4 linked regions of the Drosophila melanogaster genome follow. The protein of the gene in region 3 interacts with the protein of the main gene of each other region in a pairwise test. Each region holds a gene or a part of one and is shown on either strand. Other genes may lie near its edges. The genes, in order: CG9514, CG11404, CG11269 and CG6337.

The links.
Region 1: the proteins of CG11269 (region 3) and CG9514 interact in a two-hybrid assay, tested with the Drosophila melanogaster proteins (one large-scale study listed by BioGRID).
Region 2: the proteins of CG11269 (region 3) and CG11404 interact in a two-hybrid assay, tested with the Drosophila melanogaster proteins (one large-scale study listed by BioGRID).
Region 4: the proteins of CG11269 (region 3) and CG6337 interact in a two-hybrid assay, tested with the Drosophila melanogaster proteins (one large-scale study listed by BioGRID).

What each region holds. Positions count from the first base shown.
Region 1 is NC_004354.4:14,893,861-14,898,625, reverse strand, and holds the start of CG9514 (uncharacterized protein), read left to right. Parts: upstream 1-1,734; 5' UTR 1,735-1,966; intron 1,967-2,223; 5' UTR 2,224-2,408; coding exon 2,409-2,866; intron 2,867-4,765.
Region 2 is NT_037436.4:22,546,437-22,549,867, forward strand, and holds CG11404 (uncharacterized protein), read left to right. Parts: upstream 1-2,000; 5' UTR 2,001-2,023; coding exon 2,024-2,108; intron 2,109-2,155; coding exon 2,156-2,316; intron 2,317-2,369; coding exon 2,370-2,693; 3' UTR 2,694-2,906; downstream 2,907-3,431.
Region 3 is NT_033778.4:22,137,241-22,139,836, reverse strand, and holds CG11269 (uncharacterized protein), read right to left. Parts: upstream 943-2,596; 5' UTR 896-942; coding exon 572-895; 3' UTR 542-571; downstream 1-541.
Region 4 is NT_033778.4:13,833,031-13,837,006, reverse strand, and holds CG6337 (uncharacterized protein), read left to right. Parts: upstream 1-1,910; 5' UTR 1,911-1,944; coding exon 1,945-2,040; intron 2,041-2,160; coding exon 2,161-3,087; 3' UTR 3,088-3,432; downstream 3,433-3,976.

The sequences.
Region 1 (4,765 bases), on a different chromosome or scaffold from region 3:
AAATTTCAGTCTGAAAATATGAATCAATTTCATTTAATACAACATTGCTATTAACTATCGTATAAAATGCATTTATATTATTAAATTCATATGTTCGAAAGGAATATTAAAGCGGCCTTCTCTTTGAAATTAGTCCCCATTTCGCCTTAATCCCTCCCGGATATCACATTGTATAAAAATGCACAATGCAACTAGGAAGTCGTATGGAATGCAAAAATATGACTATCTATATCCCCACGAAATACATAACTTGGTGTTTTTCGGGACCACCGTCAAAAACATCACCCCATAGACAGAAATTGAAGCAATTTTCGTGGTTCCATTGAATGTCGATTAATACCACAAACTAGTTGCGTTCAATATCCGTTCGATATCAGGTGTGTAAAGTAATGTAATGACAATTACTTGGCAAAAATCGTGTTGTGGTTTGTCAATTGGCAAATACACACTGATCGAAATAAAAATAAAAAAAACCGGTTAAACAATGAAAACAATCAACCAACAACTAAATGCCACAAATTTCACTTTGATCTTCACTTTTGTATTCAACTCTTCGGCTTCTTCAATGCCAAAAACTGGTCAATTGATTGTGGTTCTTCTGCCAGCTGTCTTTTCAAGTCAAACTCAAAGCCGATAACGTGTTGTAAGTACAGTGAAGATTGTCCAAATGAAGTTATTAATGAACATGTTAGGGGTACGTCAAATATTAAATGATTCGAAAAATATCTAGAGTTACATACAAATTACTGAATAATGTACTAAAGTTTTTGGAAATTCAGAAATCATTTAAATGAATCGGTTGTGGCTTAGTACCTTGCTAAAAAAGCATATGCGAAGCGGAATCGGTTAGTATCGGGTAAAAACATATGGTAAGCCTTAGACTTTACACATTTTCAGCTATCGATGTTCGACTGTTCATCTTGTTGTTGTCTTTACTTAAAAGGCTTACGTGCGCAATCCCAACTACCCAACTGCCTGAGTAACTCGAAGTTGAAACCCGAATTTCGACTCAAAATCGAGCCCATCGTTCGCGGAGAGAAGTGCACATAACCGTAAAGTGAGCATGAAGGTCGTCTGGCGTCTGCAAGGAAATTCGAAATCGAAGAAGAAAAAAGAAAGAGGCGGTGCTGAAGGAAAAAACCGCAAATGTCAGATATATCTACGCAAGTGTTTGTGAGTGAGAGGCAGGAGCTGCAAGCGGTTAATTGTAACCGTTTCGCAATGCACAGCATCAGCCATCAACCGCAACCGCATGGCATATACATATGCATGTGACTGTACATGTGAGTATTGATGTGCTCGTGCGTGTGGGAGAGTGCGAAAGAGAGGCTTGCGAATCGGTAATCGTTTCATATTGCAAAATGAAGGCAAACGAAACGGTTCGTTTTTTAAAGATTTTGATATATTATTATATATTGTTCTTAAAAAGCCATGTAGAACAGTTTGATTTTCATAGGATTTAATAAAAACAAATGCAGTCTTATAATAAAAAATTATATATACGGATGCAAAAACAAGCAAATTAAATCCAATTAAACGTATGTGCCAATGTTTGTGATCAAAAACTGTTTTTAAAAGTCAGCTGCCGCGGAAAATGCAGTTGGATTTGCTGGAGAAAAACGTGCGCATGCGCAACCGATTTGCTGGCAGCGACGCCGGCGTCCTCTGCCACGGCTACCGCCTCTGCCGGCGCTGCAGCAGCGGAGACAAAACGTCGCAGGCCAGCTTTTGTGGCTCAGAAACGCAGCGACTGCCAACCGAGGCACACACGAAAACGGGCTGGCGAGGCGAATTATCCAGTGAACCGGTTAACCGATTATCCATTATCCATTATTGTACGATTACCCATAACCGATACCAAAATCAGAGCGCGCGCGGCCTAGCTAACTAATTTCAATTACAATTTATTTATTTTTGTTTCTGTTTACTCAATGTGTTTACGAGGCCTAAATGAAAGTGCAGAAAGGCAAGTGACTTTGAATGCGAACGTGACGATGGCACAGAGAGAAAATATCACAATAATAGTCCATGAAAAGCAGTAAACGAATAATAACCCATTCTTCACCCTACAAGCTTAAAATATTATTAACAGCTTTTTCATCTGTAAAGCATCGCAATCACCATGTTGTTTTTAAGCTAGAACTTCTCCATTTAAACGCTTCATTTTTCAATATACATGTTGAGAAACTTGAAATAACCGTATTGTGATGTTTTTTTTCCCAGTGTGCTTTGATAGTGAATGCAAAAATTCAACAAAAGTGGCACGAATAACTACTCATCGCAATGCAGTCACAGCAATAGAGCGAAACTAAACCTTAGGAAACGCCCAAAGAAATTCAAGAAAGCAAGGAAGGGCAATCCTTCCCTGAAAAAAATTGTCCCAGTAAACAGATCCCCCTCCTAAAATCATGGTTGTAGTTCCAGCTCTAGGCGCCGCCGCCGTTTCCGTGGGCGGTCTGCTCTTCAAGGCGAGTGCCGCATCTAAGGCGGCGGCGGCAGCGGGCGTAGCAGCGGCAGGAGCCTCCAAATTGGGCCTGGCCATCGCCGGTGCTATCAAACTGGCCACCGCTGTTATTGGCGTTGGTAAACTGACCATATTGCCCTTTCTGATAGCGGCTATAGCCTACTATAATTACGATCTCTTCGATCCGGAGAATCGACCATTCAACGTGCAGCAAGTGGATTTGGCCTATGATTTCATCATCATCGGTGGCGGTTCGGCGGGTACTGTTCTGGCCTCCAGACTATCGGAGATACCGCACTGGAAGATCCTGCTCCTGGAGGCCGGTGGACATGAGACGGAAATCTCCGATGTGCCGCTGTTGTCGTTATATTTGCATAAAAGCAAAATGGATTGGAAGTATCGGTGAGTCAATGTGTTGAGAAAATTCAAGATTGTACATTTTCAAAAACTATACATGTCTAAAAATCAAATACAATTGTATTGAAAAGAAGTTGTTACTCAAATTGAGTTGTGATTATTGTTCTTCTTTCAATTGTATATAAATCGTGTACCTTCTAACCTCAGCATATTTTTAATTCTACCTACACTTAATTCTTTTAAATATATATATAAATGTTTACTTCCTTATTTCGCCTGGTAAAATGTGAAATATTTTTCTACAATTTTACTGGGTCAAATAGTTGGCCTTAGCAGTGGCCGGGCGTGCCCTTTGCTTTCGCCCTTTTTTTTTTTTTGGCCAGCTCATCCCGATGACGTTGCCATTTTTCCAAAGTTGGCAACGAATTCTGTCCATATGCTAATCCGCATCGATGAGTTGTAGTCATTAGTATTCGGAATAGACCAAATAGACAGCTCAACTTGAATGGGTTGCGGGTTCAGACGACCCAAGACGATGATCATGATGATGATGATATGATGGTGCCAAAGGCCGGATTCGTTTAGTTAGCAACCGCCTGCCAAATTTCAGACTATTTGCAAGCTGTCTTCACACGCAAACAGTGAAACGATTTCAGCATTCGTGGAAAAGAAAGGAAAAATGCACTGACTTATAAGATTTACTTACATCAAATTAACAGGAAAGTCAACATGTTGGATTTAGTTTTTGGGGAAAACCATTGGGAAATATTTGGTGGCTCCTTAAGAGCGCTATTAAAATTATTAATAAATAATATTAAATTGAAAGTTATGCATTAGATCGTATTGTTTAAGCTCAAGTTTTAATAGGTCATTCATTTTTCAGCATATTGAAAGACATTTCCTTCTCATAGCACCATTAACACAGCAATTACTTTACGACAGTTTTCATTGCATTTCTCTTGATTTGTGGCTTCTGCTCTCCAGTGATCCCATTTCTTCGATCTTTCACTTTTCTCCGGCCCACTTTCATTTCCCGGCTCATCCCCCCACCATCCAGAATGTTCCAATTAGATAAAGACAAACGTAGACCATTACCATTTACCAGTATCATCTCGATGGATAATCTTCCAATTTTTTTGTTTTTCTGGCTGTGTCTCGCTTTCAAATAGCAATTAAGTGCGGCTTTATATGGCCGCTTGAGCATCCATTAACCAGAAATTTCGGCTTAACAATAAATGGAAAATGATCAGTGCTTCTGAGAGACTGATTCGAATTAGAACGGGCTACCGTTAGGCAGGCCTTTTGGACCCGAGGCTTCTACTTTTTTAGATTTTATTTTATTTTATTTATTTTTTGTTTTTGGGGTGGGCCCCACTGATTTCATTCAGATCGTTTTCTATCTCACGGCATTTCATTAATAACAGCTGATGCCGATGATCAACGGCACCCTGTGGCCACCGGCTCTCAAATTAACAAATCGAACTTCACTGCTTAATTATTCATGAGCTTTGGCATTTTTTTTTTTTTTTTTGTTTTTTTTTCTTGGAATTTTGTTCGAGCGTGTTACCAATACCGTAATCCATTTAACTGTTTAATGTGACAGAAGGCTGGGTGTTTTGGGTTGGGTCTATAGGCCTAGCGGCGATTTGCGTTCGGTTTTCTTTATGAGTCTTCTTCGCTCTTTTTGGCTTAAAGTTTCACTTTCAGAATTCCATTCAATTCCATTAGTATTCCCATTCCCTTTCATTGTCTTTCGTTTTCATACAATTCCTTTTCTTTTTTACATTCCCATTCCTATTCCATTATATTTTGGCATAATTGAATGCAATATGCGGTTAAGTGCATGCGAATTAAATCATAGGGTGCAAAACACAGTAAACAATGTAAGCACACCGCGAAATAAGTACACATTGCAGTATACGATTATTATGCTAATCTACCCAC
Region 2 (3,431 bases), on a different chromosome or scaffold from region 3:
ATTCCGGAATCCTCGTCAATAGAAACGGTTTCAAATTAATTAATAAAATTCTCGTTTCAAGTGGGCCAGCTAACAAACAAACAGGCAAACTAGAATGAAAAGACTTGCGTTGAAAACGAATGTTGGTGAAGAAGTTGCTTATGCCAAGGCACGTGTGTGTGGGGCTGCTGTTTCCAAAAATGCCCTCTAACAGTCAACCACCTCAGAAACTGTTTGTTGCCCAAACCAAAGAGCAAATACTTCAATAAACGAAATTAAATATTTGAGCATGGATTGAAACATTTTCCTCAGCTTTTAAGGCGGACACAACAGGGTAAATCGAAAAAGAATTGAACACATTATGCCTCGCATTGGCAACAAATTAAATAATTGCTGCAAAAAGTTTGCCATCCGCAAATATTTCGACAAATAAACGTAAATAAACCATGGGTTCTCTAGACGCTTTTTCGGTATTGTTAGAATTTTTGAACAAATGTTGCCTTTTGTTAACTCACTTAGACATCCTTCGCACCAGTTCTGGCTTTGGCCGTTCCCGTTTTGTCAAATATTTTGTTTGCCACATTGTTTAACTTTTGACCCGATTCGTCCGCCTTGCTCCATGGTTCCTCTGTAATTAGACTTTAATTGAGCAATTGTAACCATCTCAGGCGAGTGTAATTCATTGGCGTTTTTGCCAAAATTGAGCCTGAGTTCCAAAGCCAACACCTTTTTGATGTCTAACCCTGGGCAAAGGAGAAAAGGCAGCATTTTGGATCTGAATCAAACTAATTAGGCGCAAACTTAATTAATATTTGATGTTTTTTTTACCAGTTTGTCTTATTACCATGACGGCTCGGCCAAAATCGCTCCAGACCTTCTCAAACCTTAAGTGGCCCTCGTCATTTGCCTGGCGACAGACAGAAGAAGCATAATGATAACTTTAGATGATATTTCGGGATTGGGCTTAATTTGGCTGAGTTTGAAAACATTTGATAAACTTGTCGCTAGGCAGGTGCCATCGCAGAAAGGGATTCGCAATATGCCTACTGATTTTGTGGGCATGTAGAGCGATTCAAATCACAAAATGGTAAGGTCAGATGAGGCGCAAAAGTTTTTCTAATGTTTATTGGCGAACTTTTTCATTTTTTACAACTTTTGTAGAAGTTTACGTCGTACATTTCCAACCCCCCGATTGCATTCTGCCTTTTCTGTTGTTGCCTAGGATCGTCCCCGGTCATTTTAAAGTTTAAATTATACTAGGGGGGAGTCTGAGGTCTGAGTGGTCTGGAATCCAACGATTGTCAGCACATTAGGCCTACGAAGTTGTCGAAGAGGAGTGGTGGGCAGCCATACTTGGAATTAAACTTTTATCGCATCAATTCCGAGAGTTTTTCCGCGTTTCCATGGCAAAGTTTCATTGTTGGAGAATTTTCTGATATTAATTTCTTTATTTAAAATCTCCCTAGTCGCCGAGATAAGGCGAATAAACGGTACTCACCCTTCTGGGGATAGGTGCCACTTACCTGCAAGTGAAGAAAAATATATGAAAACAAGAGAGAATGCTATAGTCGAGTTCCCCGACTATCAGATACCCGTTAATCAGCTAGTGTGATTGCGAACGCAAAATTTTATAATTTTTCTGAGATATCGATAGATAATTGGGAAAAAAATGATAAAAAATTTAAAAATTGCTTAAAAGTGTGGGCGTGGCCGGCTTAGCGGCGTTTTTAGCAAATCGATAAAAATTTACAAGACTAAAACATTATGAAAAAATATCGAAAAAATTTTCTATAATTTGGGCGTGGCAGTTTTATGCGGTCTAAGTGTGTAAGAATGGGCGATAGAAATCGATATAAATTTACAAGACTAATAAAAATGTGAAAAGAGATCAACACATCTACTCTGCGAGTAACGGGTATAGTTACAATATTTGGAAGTTCTAGCTAGAGAAAACGATATTTTTTAGTCAGCAATATAGTAAAGTAGTAAGGGATCTACCCTTCAAAGTCTTATATAACTATTGTATATTTTTTACAGCCGCAACATGATTTTTATGCCTGCTCTAAACTTGCTTGTGTACAACGTACTTGTAGGTTACATAAGCATGGAAATCAATCGAATCATAAATGGTAAGTTCTTTGTAAGGACCATCTCCTAATCACTGAAGTCTTTTTAGTTTCTACAGCCCAGACAAGTCTTTGGCAGAATATTCCTATTATCGGCCAGATGTTCGCTCCGTTACAACCGGAAACCAATTATGGAGTGGAGTTCGGGGAAAGCATGTGGGACTTTAACCTATATGTAAACATCTTACTGCTTCTCCCCGCATTTTTTCAGGTAAAAGACCACATAACTCGGGGACCACATTAATGTACCGAATTCACAACCAGATCTATCACATCTCCTTGCTGGTGGCGATTGTTCTCATGTGGAACTGCTACCTTCACCAGTGTCTGGCTGCTTTCCACCTGAAGATGGTGTGGCACTTGTGGTGGAGCGACCTATGCTGGAGCTACTACGCTTCTCTTGTCCTTTTCGGATTCCTGTTGACCATGCTGCACTTTAGTCTGATTATAGCAACCGTTATGTATCAGATGCAGATCGACGGAGATCCCAAACCTCGGATCCAGTCCGAGGCTCTCCCAGAGCAGCAGCCACATCCCGCAGAGGAAATTCAGGAACGAATGGCAATGGCCCAGACCATTAAGATCTAAAAAATCAGACACTAAACGACGGAGCACAGGTTCAGCCGCCTTTAAGTGGGTCACCATCAGTCAGGGGCTTAACCTTGCCGCATCTACAAATACACTGGGTCGGTGGTTCAACTAATAAATATGCCAGAAAACACCAGACACACAGATACCCCGCACGCACACACCAGCACACTACCGCAGACCAGGACATGTACAAATGAATCGCAGCTGAGGGCCGGTCGAGCATCGGGAAATAAAACCATTAAATATTTGCGGTTAAACGCACCAAAAACAAACCGCAAAAGTAAATCATATCCAGAGCAGGCATTGGACATGGCCAAGCATCCGAGGCAAAGAATTTCTCTTGCCTCACCCGACCGTCGTCCGGCATTTGTAGGCAAAAATATTAGATTAGAAATTAGAAAGGCATGGACATGCCCCGGATTGGATTGAGATTGGGCAGGCAGCAGACCAGAGCGCCATTAAATTGGGGATGGGATGCAGGGCAGGAAACTGACTGCCAACGGCCTGCCAAAAATTCCAAATGGTCCATGGCCAAGAAGCATAAATCATTGAAACTGACATTTCACCATTTCACTGGATTTGTATGTATATGCCAAAGGTTTGGCCAATTCTTGGGGAAGAAAGTGTTTTTTGGTGGTCGAGGAATTTGCATAGATATCCGTCGTTTTTCCCAAGGAACTACTGGGACAATCGCCCTGGAGTCGAAAATATGGATCCCTGTGTGTCCTTTATAGG
Region 3 (2,596 bases):
GAGTTCCCGAAAAAATGAGTAAATGCAGTGAACCAGTTTTCAGCAGACTGCACTTGGTTGGTGGTGATAACAAGCCAGATACACAAGCGTACAACTAGAAAATCGTGTACGATAATTTACACAACGGTTTTCGTGTAAGACACAAAAGCTCGGTCGATAAGAACAAGATACATAACCCCGGTGTAGACTAGACTACGGTATAGAGGTGAAAGGGGGGGGAATAGCCAGAACTGGGAACCCACACCCCATTCCCATTAGCATGTTTCGGAAAGAGAATTTCACGGAAATTTATGATGCCCAAAAGAGAACACACCTCGGTGAAGGTGTCACGTGCGCTGTCAAAAATCGGTTGGTCCGAGACGAATGCATAATGCGGAGTGGACAACAGTCAGCCAGACTTGAAATCGAAAAGTGGCTTGGCGATAAAGAAGTTAAGGCTAATCGCAGAATGCGGTCAACAAACTGGTTCTTTCGATCTTTCGAACCAACAAGTGGGTGGACGTCGCTGAGTGGGTGAAATGCAATTGGAACCATGAAAATAAATTGTTTATTCAATAACCAATCATACAAATCAACGACGGAATCGCAAGTGACCGGGACCCCGCTTGTAGAGTCGCTTCCTTCTCTTGTTATCCCGACGAATGGCCACTATCGCAATGAAGACGAATCCCAGATAGAAAACGGCGGCTACAAAGCACCGTGTGGACACGTCCTGGTAGGCCTCGTCCGCCTGCTCCTTGAAGGCCTCCTGACTGGGGAAGTGGTGGGGCAAGGGCAGGGACTCCAGGAGCATCAGTGACTGGACGTAGAAGAAGATACCCAGCAGATTCAGCATCAAGAAGCCCCAGGCGCTCATGAACAGGCAGAACAGACAGCACTTGCGACCACAAAACATTTTCAAGCTCGATTCAATTCTATGCGAACTTTGTGCGACAGTGTAGTCGAGTGTTGCTCTGACCGCAACAGGTGCCAAGTTTAAGCCGACTTCGAAAGCGAAACCGAATCCGAAATCGAAATCGGAATGTATTGGACCACATACTATTCATCCATCTATCTACATACGCTCGTACACAAGTACAACCTTGTGCGATTTCAGCGGCATTAGATCAGAGTGGTCGGAATATGGAGTTCACGTACCCGTGCCTCTCGCTTTCGGCGGCGTTGCGATTGGGTTTGTTCAACTCGAAATGGCTTAGATTCGGATTTGATCTTAGCCAATGATGGACAACTGACAGATATATCATTTGCACACATACATATGAGTATGATATAGAAGCAGCTCAACTTATTAACACTTGAAAAGCACGTCAAAAAAACGATGTATACAATATACTTCAGAACATCAAGCTTATGCAGAACGAAGACCTGCAATATATTTGATATTTCAAATCAGTGGCTGCATTTAGTTCTGCGTATTTATATATCAGAAGTGATTTTTAGAGAACTGAATGTAGGCCATGCCAACCAAGTAGCTGATTCATTAAAGGGCAGCCTCTGATTTGAATTCCCCTTGTGAATCATGCTCAAGAAATTGCAATAAAAATAGCCAACTAAATAAGTTTAAGCAATAATTAGCACAACTTACCGTGAGTGGTTGATGTTCTCGATAAATCCGCAGAGCAACAAAATTTTTGCCACACTTGCAAAGAAGAAGCAGCAGAAGAATTCACAATAAAGTTTTTACTAGTTTCTTGAAACTCCGTTACAAAACATCAAGTTGTTGTGAAAATTCGTAAGTCGTTTTCGCGGTTGCTAAACCTTTTTTACACTCTGTTGTTTTACTAACGTTTCCTTTATTATGTTTGTTTATGCGAATTGTCGTTAGTTTTATGGGTTACTAGACACGATTAGAGAGAAATCAAAAATTAGGAAAATTAAACAGAATTGATAAAATATTTTTTACTTATTGCACCACGTGTTGCAACTTGAGACATAATAGGTGTCAGCTCTAATTGAGTAAATATGTTTTGCTGGTAACTTAAGCTGCGGATTTCGTACAGCCACAGAAAATGGGGGTCAAGTCCATTAGGTTAAAACCCGATCCCCAAGCGAAAGACCTTGACATTAGGGCGGTTGCTCACTGAACTTGGTAATATCTTAAGTGTCTCGAATTCCCTTTGCGCAAATCAATCAACTTGTCTTATGAGAGCACGAAGAAAAATGAAAATAAGATCACTACATTTTTATTTAAATGATATTTCATAGCTTATTGATATATTTCTAATGAGTATTAACCTAAAGTTTGATCTTATATTTCAAGAGACGGATGTCAAAATATTATTCTTCGCTGATTATTTTCTCAGTGTGGGATTTCAGTTACAGTTATATGGTTGTTATTTGCCTTATTTGCTTAGCACATTCTTCTTTACAATCACACAGACACTTGCTTTGATTTGTGTATTCGTTTTTGTTGTAAGCGCAATTATCAGTACAAACATTTATAATAAAAAAAATTGCAATTTCAACAAAAAAAAGTGTTTAGCTTTCAGTTTAACTTTTAGCTTGAATTTGTTAATGTCTTCACTGAATTTTATTTGTGCTTTATGAAAATATAATGTACACACTGATAAGAGAATAATTCATTTTATGCTATAAT
Region 4 (3,976 bases), 8.3 Mb from region 3:
ACCAAATTAAATAGACTTTTGAAACTAGCAGAGCATTCGCTGTTCGTATTTCCGGTCTGTTTTACGAATTCGATCACCGATGAGACGTGAATAATTACTGGGTGAATGAGCTAATTTGCATATGCTTAGCATAATTACATTAGTGCAAGCATTCGATTCGGATGAATTTCGAAATGTATGAATGATTTCGCGGCTTCGTCTCTCCTTTTATTTCCTCAGCTCCCAAATTGGCTCCATCGAGGGCCCAAATAAATCAAAATCAAATCTAGATTAGGCAACCGCAGGCTAAGATTTCACTTTCGTTGCCATAAAATACTGATCACATGCTGTGCCCGGTGAAAGGCGATGGATTCCCCTGTTTAAAATCAAATTTCGAGTCGAATGTAAGCAATTGCAGTTCTCTTGTCTTCGACGGACCATTATGAATCGAAAAATAACAACACACACGACACAATATGTTGAAAAGATCGACTTAATCACCTTTTATGGATATCTGGGAATGATATGTTCAAAACACCTTCCGCGTTCACAAATCACAAAACTATTCGAAGATGCTGAAGACTCGAAGACCGGCGAGATTATAAGCGGCGCTCGACCCGCACACCTTGGTTTTATAGAGTCTGGAGCTGGACCGTGGGACATATGGCCAAAACTGGATGGGCCACCAATTTGAAACTTTTGGAATACCGACAAGAGCATATTCATCTTCATTTCGACGGGCTATCTGGTTTATGGGTCTATAGCTGTCTCCATTATATGCATGCTTAGTAATTGTCGATTGCCTAATGTGTTGGTGGCTATAACAACGCATATTAACTCATTTGAAACAAAAGAGAAAATAGTCAAACATGTTTTTAAATAGTTAATAATTGATGAGATCGAAGTCACAGTTGTAGCGCCTATAGGATTACAAATTTCAATGCAGCAAGCAAAGTTTTAGGAAAGTTTTTAAAGCGTCTCTAAGTAGTTTGTACTATTATATCCCTTGTAAATAAATAACACTTTGATTTTTATGTAAATAATACAATTACAGAATGATAAAGATGCAGACGGATGAATAATGGTCTCGACTTTCAATAACTATAAATTGAAATTGAACCATGAAGAGATTGATTAGTGGCCAATTTATTTGCATTTCAATTAACAGATTCGTGGAATCTGAATTTGTTGTTGCGTCTACTAAAAAGTTCATTGACTGCTGAAATCCCTTATGGACTTACCTACATATTTGCAAAATTTCAAGATGATCCCTCATTACTACTTCGAATATATACTACCTGTAGTATATGCTAGACTACCGCAATGGAAATTACCAAACAACTCACTTAGCACTTGGTTTACAGCAATTTGGCCAAGTCTTCCAACGGGCCTATCTATCTATCTGTCTATGTATCTTTCCATCTACGTATCTATCTATCAACGCTGTTGCAACTTTTATGGGCGCCACAAAGTATGACTGTGATTAATCATGCCTGCGCTGAAGACAAAACCTGAAGACTAAACGATAAGTTGGCATTAGAGGGGCGTTTACGATGCTCCATGGGCATATGGGCTTGGGTGTTTTTTTCTGAACTGGGCCAGTGGGGATTTCGAATTAACAGAGATACGAGAACCCACCGCCGAATCGCAACGATACGAAACGGGGCATTTGACAAGTTTATTGGGCAAACAAAGCGCACCCCGACTTTTCCTACCAACGTCGGCTTATCGAGGAGACCCAACCCGGAATATGAATACTACGGATAGTACGTTTGAGTGCTGCTGGCCAAGTGCGAATTCAAGGCCTCGTAGAAATCTACGAGTATTTGCACTTTTCTTGCGAAAGTAAGTCGCTTTGGTAAACTTCTATTTGCGTTTGCAATCAGAAGGAGAGTTTGCCGGTGCCTATAAAAGATCGTTCCATGGTTCTGGCGGCATTAGTTGGTGCGGATTTGGGTTTTCGTCATGTTCAAGTTGCTACTTTGCTGCCTTCTACTAACCATCGACAGTGGATGGGCCTTTAATCATGGCCAGGATCTAGTGGACTTTCAAACTTACGAGGTATGTGAGTCATCAAGAAAACAAAGTCTGGATGGGATTTAATTAGAAATTATATCTTGTATCTTATGGCATTGAAAAGGATTGTATTGAGTAATGGAATTCAAATCTTTCCATTTACAGGACAATTTCAACAAGACCTATGCCTCAACTTCGGCTCGCAACTTCGCCAACTACTACTTCATCTACAACCGCAACCAGGTGGCGCAGCACAATGCCCAGGCCGATAGGAATCGCACCACCTACCGCGAGGCAGTGAATCAGTTCTCGGACATCCGGCTCATCCAGTTCGCAGCCCTGCTGCCCAAAGCCGTGAATACGGTGACCTCGGCGGCCAGTGATCCACCGGCCAGTCAAGCGGCATCTGCCAGCTTTGACATTATCACGGATTTCGGACTCACCGTGGCGGTGGAGGATCAGGGCGTGAACTGCAGCAGTAGTTGGGCCTATGCCACCGCCAAGGCCGTGGAGATCATGAATGCCGTGCAGACAGCCAATCCTCTGCCCTCGTCCTTGTCCGCCCAGCAGCTGCTGGACTGTGCGGGCATGGGCACCGGATGCAGCACCCAGACGCCCCTGGCTGCCCTCAACTATCTCACCCAGCTGACAGATGCGTATCTCTATCCGGAGGTGGACTATCCGAATAACAATAGCCTGAAAACGCCGGGTATGTGCCAGCCCCCATCCTCTGTGTCAGTGGGCGTGAAGTTGGCCGGCTATTCCACGGTGGCCGACAACGATGATGCCGCCGTAATGCGTTACGTATCGAATGGATTCCCCGTCATAGTCGAGTACAATCCGGCTACCTTTGGATTCATGCAGTACTCCAGTGGCGTCTATGTCCAGGAGACGCGTGCCCTGACCAATCCAAAGAGCTCACAGTTCCTGGTGGTCGTGGGCTACGATCACGACGTGGACTCCAATCTGGACTACTGGCGCTGCCTGAACTCCTTCGGCGACACGTGGGGCGAGGAGGGTTACATCAGGATCGTGCGCAGGTCCAATCAGCCCATTGCCAAGAATGCCGTCTTTCCCAGTGCGCTTGCCTAAGAAGGATTCCGATTTGACCTTATTTCAAGTTAATAAACTTAAGTTTTATGTGTAAATTTTTATATGATGATTTTGTTTCGGATTCAGTAGATGCTGTAAGTTCTTTAAAAAAACTTAATGCTAGTAAGCAATACTATTATTATTATTATAGACGCATTATCTTTAAATCAACTAGAATTCGAGTAACAGATTCGGGAATATCTATAATAACACTATGATGATACCTTAAGAGTGTGCCTATCTATATCTATGATAGTTCATAGAATAGAAGAATAGTAATAGAACCATCCAAGAAATAGATTTGGGAATATCTCAAATAAAGCTAAGATAATTCATCGAGATCTTGAATATTACATAAAGAGTAATCTTGAAAAAAAATCCCCCGTCTTCTACCAAAAAGTATCGTTTGGTTTTTTGTTGTGAAAGCTTACAGCTTTTTTGTCTCCATTTATTGAATTTACCATTTTATTTAGTTTATTTATTGATTTTTCATCTACAAGCGGAGCTTTACAGACTTAAATGCTAAAAATTAACAAGTTCACTTTATTTTCTTTTCTTTTCTTGTTTTTCGCATCTTTGATCTGCTTATGGATTTTATACTATTATCTTTGCAGTGTTTTCTTTTTCTGTTATGTTTCTCTTGCATAATAAATAAGTTTCCCATTTTGTTGCTATCCGTGTTGCTGTGATATAAAAACGAAAGGAAATTATATAGATATATATAATATTTAGGTATTATATTTATGGTTATAGAATATTCGACTCAGCCAGCGCAGACAAAAGCTTCTTTTTTTTGGTGTGTGTTCTTTCTGTAGATTTCTTAATCTTAGTTCTCGTAAATTTTTTAAGTTTCAGTAACTTGTTTGGAAACGTTGTTATTATAAATACT